Linked DNA regions of Caenorhabditis elegans. The protein of the gene in region 2 interacts with the protein of the main gene of each other region in a pairwise test. Each region holds a gene or a part of one and is shown on either strand. Other genes may lie near its edges. The genes, in order: dyf-3 and osm-12.

Evidence for each region.
Region 1: the proteins of osm-12 (region 2) and dyf-3 interact in a two-hybrid assay, tested with the Caenorhabditis elegans proteins (one large-scale study listed by BioGRID).

Annotation. Positions count from the first base shown.
Region 1 is NC_003282.8:3,396,151-3,401,329, forward strand, and holds dyf-3 (Clusterin-associated protein 1 homolog), read right to left. Parts: upstream 2,974-5,179; coding exon 2,952-2,973; intron 2,752-2,951; coding exon 2,640-2,751; intron 2,549-2,639; coding exon 2,290-2,548; intron 2,234-2,289; coding exon 2,033-2,233; intron 1,588-2,032; coding exon 1,417-1,587; intron 1,371-1,416; coding exon 1,222-1,370; intron 1,173-1,221; coding exon 1,117-1,172; intron 1,069-1,116; coding exon 887-1,068; intron 564-886; coding exon 501-563; downstream 1-500. Other genes in the region: C04C3.14 (uncharacterized protein), read left to right, coding at 235-292, 341-383; pdhb-1 (Pyruvate dehydrogenase E1 component subunit beta, mitochondrial), read left to right, coding at 3,538-3,607, 3,738-3,923, 4,459-4,589.
Region 2 is NC_003281.10:12,199,375-12,204,411, forward strand, and holds the start of osm-12 (BBSome complex member bbs-7), read right to left. Parts: upstream 3,164-5,037; 5' UTR 3,077-3,163; coding exon 2,978-3,076; intron 2,691-2,977; coding exon 2,628-2,690; intron 1,948-2,627; coding exon 1,693-1,947; intron 460-1,692; coding exon 22-459; intron 1-21. Other genes in the region: Y75B8A.13 (titin), read right to left, coding at 4,524-4,645. UniProt on the Caenorhabditis elegans protein: Component of the BBSome complex. The BBSome complex is thought to function as a coat complex required for sorting of specific membrane proteins to the primary cilia.

The DNA.
Region 1 (5,179 bases), on a different chromosome or scaffold from region 2:
TTTAAGATTTTCCGATTTTTTTGCCTGAGAACTTTTCTGGGATCTTCCGAGTTGTTTGGCTAAAAAAATCTGAAATTTCAAAAATTTTCAGAATTCCATTTGGGTTTTTTGTAATTTTTGGCCAGAAAGTTTCTGAAAAAAAATCAGAAAAATCAGAAATTTTGTGGAATTTTCACAAAAAATTGTAGTTTTTTAAAAACTATTTTTCTGCAATAACCTAAAATATATTTCCAGGTTATGGCTCAAGCTCATCTCCTCCACAGTACTCTCAATCGGCATCGTCGACCGCAACGTATTCCACGTCATCACCTAGTAGTAATAGTAAAACCTCGAGTTTTAGGTACCGAGTGGATCCCGCCGAGATTGCCGTTATGCTTTTTTGAATTTTTTGACGATCTCTAATTGTTTTGTTGAATTGTAAATATGTAATAAAAAGGTGCATTTATTTTCTGGGGTTAATAAAAACTTAAGGGTTTTGCAAAAAAAACACAAGAAGAAGCTCAGAAGTCGTCTCCACTGCTCAAGTCGCTTTTCGCGTCGTCGGCCACGTGGGCGGTGGTGATCTGAAAATCGATAATTTTAGTTTCCACGGGTACGCGCTTCTGGTTTAGATTACGACCAGGCAAAGCTTAAGGCCAGAAATCGCGGGAAACTTAATTTTCACTGGAGTGACGTCACAGCCTTTTTTCTGAAGCTCATACACCGACAGGGTGTTGTTGGCCTGTCTGCGGGGTACGGTAGGTTGCCGTCACAGGAGGCATTTGTAAAAAATGTGACGTCACAACGCATCCTAGTGGAAGTTTCTGAACTTCCAAAGATCTAGCAGCTAAATCCACCTGACCATGAGGAGACGATCATCTACCCTCCCAAGCACCTTATCACTCACCCCGACCATATAATCCGCCTCGCTTCTCTCCTCATCCTCCTCCTGCCGATGAAGTTCTCTCTTGTGATGCTGCGCGACATTATCATCCATCCTGATGATCTCATCATCCTCGTCATCCTCATCGTCCTCATCATCATCAGAGGCATCACCACCCATCATGTTACCGTACACCTTGCGAACAGCTGGAAATGGTTAATAAACCTGTGGAGCTGATAGAACTTAACACTTACACTGCCTCCTGTCCACCAAGGGGGCGTCGGAGCCGTCGTCGTCGTGGAGTCCGATGCTGAAATAAGGATGTCAGTCGGAAGTTCTAAACTTCCATGAAAACTCACGCATCCTTCTTCTCCTGCTCCAGCCGCATTTTCTCAACGGCCATCCTCATCGCCTTCTCCAGCTCCTCCTGCCGTTGCCGCTCGGACCTCGCCAAGTCATCATGAACTTTTCGCAGATAGGACAGGTTGCGGAAGTTCAGCACGTAGACCTGGAAGCTTAGGCTTCACAGGGCAGCTCGGTATCCGGTGTCTTACCTCATAAAGTTTCTTCAGTCGCTCCTCAAACCGCTCGTACTCGTCCATATACTGAGGTCGGAAGGACTGTAGCTTTGCGAATCTTTTTTGCAACTGCTCGTACTCTCGCTTCTTTCGCTCTATCTTCTCGTCGAGCTCTGCCTCATCGCTGGCCACGTTGTTCAGCTTGTTCTGAAAATTTGAGAGGTTAGCTGGGGAGCCTGCACCTAACCTAATTGTAAGTGACTCAGACCCTCCGGGCTTTAAGAACAATCACGTGGGTTCGAGTGGAGTGGGTGTTGCTTCAAGCCAGTTAGGCTAATTCAGTCTATTCCTTCAGCTCCAAGATCCTCAGCGGACTCCTCGAGGCTAGGGGTCTCTGAGCTTCTGGAGAAGATGCACAGGCCCGGTCTAGTGGCTTGAAGCCCTGCATATACCACTAGAGTTCAGGTAATGAAGCTTCAAAGTCTGAATCAAAGTTCAAGTCACTCTTTGACCAAGCCCACGCCATTAGAAGAAGTCCAAGCTTTTTACTGTCCGCTTCACAATCAGGATCGAGCCAGGCCAATCTCTCAAACTCTAAGACGCCAGAGCTCAAACCTACGCCACCAGGAGCTCCGTGACCCGTCAAGCTTACCGATAGCTGCTCAGTCTCCTGAGCGATGTTCTGCACTGTTGCCTGCAGCACCTTCTCGGCCTCAGCAAGTGGTACCGCCCGTGACGCGGCTCTCTCGTGTTGCTGAGATATGAACTCCTGCCGGGACAGCAGCTCACTGAGCAGGGCACCTGTTTCCGGGAGTTGTGATGATAGCTGACGAGTGATTCGGACCTCCTGCATCTGAACTTTCGACAGTTTTTTCAGGCTTTTTCAGGCTGGTGGCCTGTGAGACCCACCTTCGACGAGAGCTTATTCTTGACTTGGGTCCATTTTGGCGAGTTATCAGTGTTCGGGTCCTCTGCCTTGGCCTGGTAGAGGATCTTCATGGCCGGTAGGAGTTCCTGCACCGCATGACCATCAGCCTGGTACAACTTTTTTGGATTCATCTTGATTCTCGAATTTTGGAGCATCAGGAGTACCGCGTTCTTGATGAAAGCGACCCGATCAGCTTCTGTTTGGACTTCGTGTGCGTCAAGGTTGGATTCGGGCTCAAATCTGGAATTTTTGGGCTTAGAGTAGGCTTGGAAGTTAGTGGCCAAAGTTTCTATATTTTTCGGCCAACGATTTTTTTCACTGGGAAACTAACTTTTTCACGATCCATTCCAGCAATTCAGCCACCAGCTGAAAATTTGGGGTCCGGAAATTCTCAATTGACATCAAGCGAGGGTATCGGAGGCTTCGCGTCATCTCACACAGGTCTGAAGTTGGCGAAATTTGGGACTAGAATCCGAACTCGGCCATGATTTTGTAAAATTCAATTTTAAGTGTATTTTGGGTCTTTTTTTTGCGTTTTATGGTTTAGAAACATTTCTCACCTAGATTTTAATGCAACACTTATTTTTTCCATATGAAAATCTCAAAGTTCAAATTTAAAATTAAAAAAGCCTTAAAAACTTACTTCTCAGCTCACGATACGACATTTTTCGTGCAGAATTCAATTGAAACTTCTCTTCTCAACAATTGCCTGCCTATTCCCCCATTCAATATTTCCTCCGTTCCCATAGAAACTCCCTGCAAACACCCCAAAGACTACGGTCGACGAGCTTCTGCAGCTCAACCGGCGTTTTGTACGCAAACACCGCGACGCCATATTGCACACATTTTTCGAGAGGAGCGCCGCGCGCATTTTCTCCGAGTTTTGTTTGCTTTTTTGCGCATCTTTCATTGATTTTTTATTAAAATCGGGGGAAATATGGTTTAAATTATCGATTTCCGCCTGTTTTAGTGGTGAAAATGTGAAAAATCGTAGTGAAAAACCCTAGAAACCAGTAAAATTCTATTTGGAAGGGTTTTGGTCTAAATTTTGAGTTTTTAGCATTAAAACAATATGCTCAGCAGAAAAACTAATGAAAATGTGAGAATTTTGAATCAAAATACCTAAATTTTTTAAAAAATCCTAGTTTTTCTCTATTTTTCTCAAAATTTCCGGCAAAAGCCTCAAAATTTCAATTAATTTCCGGTTTTTCAGGTAATCCCCGGTCGAAATGGCTCTGAGAAAGTGTGGAAACCTGTTCGTGGCTCGTCTCGCTGGCACCTCGACCAGAGCGGCTTCCAGTGAGTAGAAATTGCAAAAAATGAATGGAAAAAAAACGAAAAAATCGCTGATTACCGGCTAAAAATGAAGAATTGAACGGAAAAAACGAATTTTAACCTAAAAAAGCATAAAAATCGCCAATTTTTTCAGCAATGACCGTCCGTGACGCCCTAAATCAGGCTATGGACGAGGAAATCAAACGTGACGACCGAGTTTTCCTGATGGGAGAAGAAGTTGCTCAGTACGACGGAGCTTACAAGATTTCCAAGGGATTGTGGAAGAAGCACGGTGATAAGCGAGTCGTCGACACTCCAATTACTGAAATGGGATTCGCTGGTACGGGAAATCACGCTGGAAATCGAGAAAAATCGAGAAATGTTGACTCGGAACGTCAAAATCACTAATAAATCCCCAAAAACAGCACCATTTTTTCGAAAAGAAAGTGTCCAAATTTACTTTAATTTTGGATCTTTTCTCTCAAAAGTTCAGTTTTTACACTAAAAATTGGATTTTTCGAACAAATTTCGGAAATTTTCCTAAAAACAATTAATTTTCGGCATTTTTTATTGAAAATTTCAATATTCACTGCAAAAAGCTCGGAAATTACGGAGTTTTGATATTTTTCGCAGAAAATTCCGGTTTTATCAAAATTTTGTCGAAAATTAAGCTGAAAAATCACATTTTTTATATAAAAATCAGATTTTTCCCAATGTTATTTGCAGAAAAGCTCTAAGACCGCGCAAATTCAATTTTTCAGCAAAAATTGTCTAAAAAGCTCGAATTTTCGCATTTTTCTCGATTTATTCAATTTTTAGCAAAATTTTTTCAGAAAAAACTGAAAATTCCTCCAAAAAAATCACATTTTTTTCAGGAATCGCCGTCGGTGCTGCCTTCGCCGGGCTCCGTCCAATTTGCGAGTTCATGACATTCAATTTTTCCATGCAAGCCATCGATCAGATTATTAATTCAGCCGCAAAAACATATTATATGTCCGCCGGAAGGGTACGGTCTTGGCAATGTGCCACGTTTTCTGGAAATTGCGATTTTCAGCGAAAAAATAGCCGAAAAATTGAAGATTTTCACCAAATTTTTGACTAATTCGTGAGAAATCACGCTTTCTGCTATTTTTAGAACGAAATTCCTCGGTTTACACTGATTTTTCAGGAAAAAGTCAATTTCTGATACAAAAAATGCGATTTTTCTAGATTTTTGACTGAAAATCAGGGTTTTTCTGAAATTTCTACACAAATTTTACCTCAACAGAGCTGATTTTAGCTTTAAAATCCGATTTTTCTCGACTTTTCACTGAAAATTTCATTTTTTCAGCCATTTTCGTTGAATTTATGCTGAAAAATCATGTTTTTCACATGGTCTCACGCCATTTTGATAAGAAAAAATTTGTAAAAATCATCAACTGATAAGAATTCTTATCACTGAACACTTTCTGATCAGTGAATTTTATCAGAAATTGGAAATTTTTTTTCGGAAAATCGGTCCAAAACTGAGAAAATATAGGGAATTTATAACTTTTAAAGTTTTTTTTTCTTGTTTTTTTTTCTGAAAACACCGCTTTTCCAAGAAAAATACCGGAG
Region 2 (5,037 bases):
GCAACTTCAACAAAAGCCTACAAAAGTTCCGAATAAATGTGCATGATCAGTTTCATCAATAACGTAAATCTCAATCAATCCATCTTCTTTTCCCACAATAATATCCGGAAATTGTCCGCCAGTCACATTGAAGCACACAATTGTTGTGACACAAGCTCCCGACGTTGTATCAATTTCCCATAGGATCTTTCCACCGCCTTGAGGTACACTAACAAGTCCCAGCCTGCCAGTTTTTGTTCCGTAAAGAACCAAAAGCTTCGTATGACCACCATCGCCCATAAAAAGGGAAACTGTGAATGGAACACTATCGAGTCGGACATCATAGGCGAAGTTGTTGCCTTCAATGATTTGAAGAGTTGAGTTACCACATGCGAGAATTGAAGTGTATTCTCGACTCCCCCATGCTTCTTCGAATACAAGGCTTACAACATCATGAATGTCTTCCGTGCAAAGATAACTCTGGAATTTGTTCGTAGATCAATTTTGAGTTCTCTCTTACTACAAAATTGGCCATTTTAGAACAGTTTCAAAATTGTGAATTTTTGCCATAAATTGTCCATTTTTGCCACATTCTCATGGTTTTTGATGTGTTAAACCTAGATTTTCTGAATTCTCCATATACGAATTACCCGTGTTCAACTAATTTAGACAACTTTTTATTTTTGCCCATTTTCATTTTTCTGCCATCTAATGACTGCCCAATTTTTTTCGGGCAAAAAAATATTTTTTTGGAAATTATTAGAAATAGGAAAAGGGCAAATTTTTAGGGTTCTGGCATCAATTTTGAGTCCTCTAACTACAAAAATAACCATTTTAGAGGACTTTCAAAATTGTCATTTTTTGCCATAAATTGTCATTTTTGCCACTTTTTATTAGTTTTTGATGGGTTGAACCTAGTTTTTCTGAATTCTACGTATATGAATTACCCGTTTTCAACAAATTTAGACAACTTTTTATTTTTGCCCATTTTCATTTTTCTGCCATCTTTTGGGCAAAAATTTGGGCAAAAAAAAAGATTTTTCTGGAAATGTACAAAACCACTATATTCTGAAAAAGGGCAATTTTTTAGCGTTCGGAGATCAATTTTGAGTCCTCTAACTACAAAATTAACCATTTTAGATTAGTTTCAAAATTGCGTTTTTTGCCGTAAATTGTCCATTTTTGCCACTTTCTAATGATTTTTGACGGGTTAAACCTAGATTTTCTGAATTCTCCATATATAAATTACTTTTTTTAAACAAATTTAGACAACTTTTTATTTTTGCCCATTTTCATTTTTCTGTCATCTTTTGGGCAAAAATTTGGGCAGAAAAAAATTATTTTTCTGGAAATATTCGAAACTATTATATTCTAAAAAAAGGGCAGTTGTTCAATGCTTGGAGATCAATTTTTCTTTTTTAAGTTAAATATTAAACTCAAATTTGAATGGTAAAGAGCTTAACCACAGTTAGTTTAGCGATGTGCACCAGAGGTGCGCGGCAAATTTGCCAAATTTGCCGAACTTGGCGAGCACGGCAAACGTTAAAATTTGCTACACACCAAAAAGGGTGTTGGAAAATGTTGAAACATTTTCGTTTTTCTATTATTCGAATTTCCGAAATATTGTTTTAAAAAATTCAAAAAAAAATAATGTTATTTTTCATCAACAGAAACAAAATCTGGTTATGACCAACGGGTGGTGCAAAAACCTACATTCGAATCCACCGTGTCATGATATCTACTGTAACTTTTTCGTCCAGTCAAAACCACATCCAATCCACGTACGAACATTCGATTCGCAACTTCAGCCATATTAGTTTCCATCGAAAAAAATGTTTTTCCTTTTCGATTGACTCCTCGAACCGTATTTTGTGATGCGACAAAGATTTTATCCTTTTTTTTCGACGATGCCGGGCCACCGAGAGCCAACGATTGAACAGGGTATCCTGGTTGAGTTTTGAATATTATCTGGAAATTTTTAAATTAAAATCCGGCAAAAATCGGAAATTCGGAAATTTGCCGGAATTGAAAATTCCCAGCATCTCTTCAAACGGGCAAAGTTTCGGAATTTAAAAGTTCCGGCAAATCGACAAGTAGCCAAAATTGAGCTTTTTTGGCAAACAGCAAAGTCGGCAAATTGCCATTTTTCAAATTTCCGGCAAGTTCGGCATATCTCGGCAAATCGCTTCGTGCATTTCCCGAATATTTTCGTAAAAAGTACAAAAATTGCTAGAAGTACGAAAATGTGCGACAATGGGTAGAAACTGGGTAGAACCGATATACCGGCAATTTGCCGACTTGCCGATTTTTTCTTTTTTGGAAATTTCAGAATTTCAGTTGTAAAGGGCAAAATTGTACGCATCCTATGAATGTTTCTACATCTATTTTGAAAAATAAGCAAATTCTACATATGAAAATGTCTAAAGAAAACCGAAAAAACTTTAAAAAAGGCACAATTTTAAGTGTTTCCGTCTTATCCCTCTAAAATCTTCCGGGAAATTGATATCCGGCAAATCGGCAAACCGGCAATTTGCCGATTTGCCGAACGGCATTTGTTTCCCACGCCTGTTTTAGAAAACTACATAGCATGTGTACTCCACCAGAAAAATCTGAAACTGTCTGGAAAAAATCATAAAAAATTTACTCACCGTGGTGTCATTCGATTTTCTCGATAAACAGATTAAGCTTCCGTTCTGTCCACCGACTACTATCTGCAAACATCAAATTGGTTTTTTTTAACTTTCACGTATCTCTGGCCTCCCTCATAAATTTAAATGGAAGAGTTTGCCTAACTAAGCCAGGCCATATCTGGGGTAGATTTACGGCGCGTTGCGTGTCGCGTCGCGGCTCGATTGTAAAACTATATGTATTTGTCCGTGTGGAGTACACGTTGTGCGGCGGGGGTGATTGTCAATGGAGCGCGAAAAATTCAAAGAGGAAGGCTAGAAGCCCGTGTATATATCTGATACATGCTTAAAGTATTTAAAAAAACCCTTACCAAATCGTGTTCTTTCTCCTTATCCGACGGAATAACACGCATGCAACCCCGATTAGTAGTGCCGACTTGAGCGAAATCAGTTCTCGAATAATTTTGCATTTTTTACAGTGGAAGCTGAGAGAAATGTGAGCAGAAAATCCAAGATTTCAATAAATGGAGAACTAGGAACCGCCGAGTCGCTGGTGTTGTCGAGTTACTATGGCAACATGAGCTGGAGAGGGGTCAGGTGGCTCATTGGGGTGACGGGTGAGAAGCGAGGTGTTTGAAAAAGATTGTAGTAGGTATTTGCTTAGGAAATGGGCCATAATGACCGAGTCTAAAAAACAGTGCACTGCGGCAAATTTGCCGAAATTACCAAGCTGGGCAAATTTGCCGAATTTGCCGTTTTTTTTTTTAATTTCACATGAGACGTATGTCATCTAAAAGCTATACTACAAACTTGGTGACCACCAAAATTCAAAAAATAATTTAAAAAAACAGGAATTGAAAATTTCCGGCAAATCTGCAAACTGCCGGAATTGAAAATTTCTGGCAAAACGGGAATTTGCCGGAACTGTAATGATCCGGCAAATCTGCAAACTGCCAGAATTGAAAATTTCTGGCAAATCGGCAATTCGCGGGAATCGAAAATTTCCGACAAATCGGCAAATTGTCGGAATTGAACATTTACGGCAAATCGGCAAAACGGCAATTCGCTGGAATCAAAAATTTCCGGCAAGTCGGCAATTTTCCGAAAATGAAAATTTCCGGCAAATCGGCAAATTGCCGGAATTGAAAATTCCTGGCAAATCAGCAAATTTGCGGCAAATCGGCAATTTGCCGAAAATGAAAATTTCCGGCAAATACGCAATTTGCCGGAATTGAAAATTTCCAGCAAATTGGCAAGTTGCCGGAATTGAAAATTTCTGGCTAATCAGCAAACTGCCGGAATTGAAAACTTCCGGCAAATTGGCAAATTGCCGGAATTGAAAACTTCCGACAAATCGGCAAATTGTCGGAATTGAACATTTACGGCAAATCGGCAAAACGGCAATTCGCTGGAATCAAAAATTTCCGGCAAATCGGCAATTTTCCGATAATGAAAATTTCCGGCAAATCGGCAATTTGCCGGAATTGAAAATTTCTGGCAAATTGGCAAATTGCCGGAATTGAAAACTTCCGGCAAAACGGGAATTTGCCGGAACTGTAATGATCCGGCAAATCTGCAAACTGCCGGAATTGAAAATTTCTGGCAAATCGGCAATTCGCGGGAATCGAAAATTTCCGACAAATCGGCAATTTGCCGACGAAAAAATCTTTCGCGCTTGTCCACGTGTAGTACAAAATTCTGTCGTAAATCGACACACACTTGCAAAATCACCTCTTTTTTAATTCCTGCAAACTGCAAATTTCAGGGGTTGATCTAATTTTAAAAAAAAAACAAAAATTTATTGAATAAAAAAGTCAAACTTTTTCAATAAAATGGAACGGGTTAACAATATATAATCGTTTAAAAAAAAAGGGAGATCATTTTTAGAAAATCAAATATTAATTTTAGAAAAAAAAATCATTCAAGACGTGGTCTTTTCGGATCCTGGGCTTCATCCTCGTCGTGTTCAGGCAGGAATTCACGTTTTTGAGCGGCGGAACTTTCTGTAGATTCTTGAGCCGGAGCAGCAGGAGTTGTTACTGAAAAAAAAGAATATTTTTGAACTTTTCAGGGAAATACTTTTAAATTACTCTAAATTTGCGCCTGATTCCGAATATTTATGTTAAAAAATTCGAAAACAATCCCCTGAAATCTCGTAAATCGACAAAACGGAATTTTTAAAGGATTTTTGGAAATTTTTTTAAAAGGATTTTTCGGAATTTTTAAGGATATTTGGAATATTTTTTGGAATATTTTTTTGAAATTTTTTAAAGTACCTTTCGGAATTCTTTACGATTTTTGAAGGATTTTTTGGAATTTTTTGTATTAAAAAATACAAAAAATAAGGAATTTTTTAAAGGATTTTTCGGACTTTTGTCGGATTTTTTAGAGCTTTTTAAAGGATTTTTTGGAATTTTTTGTATTAAAAAAT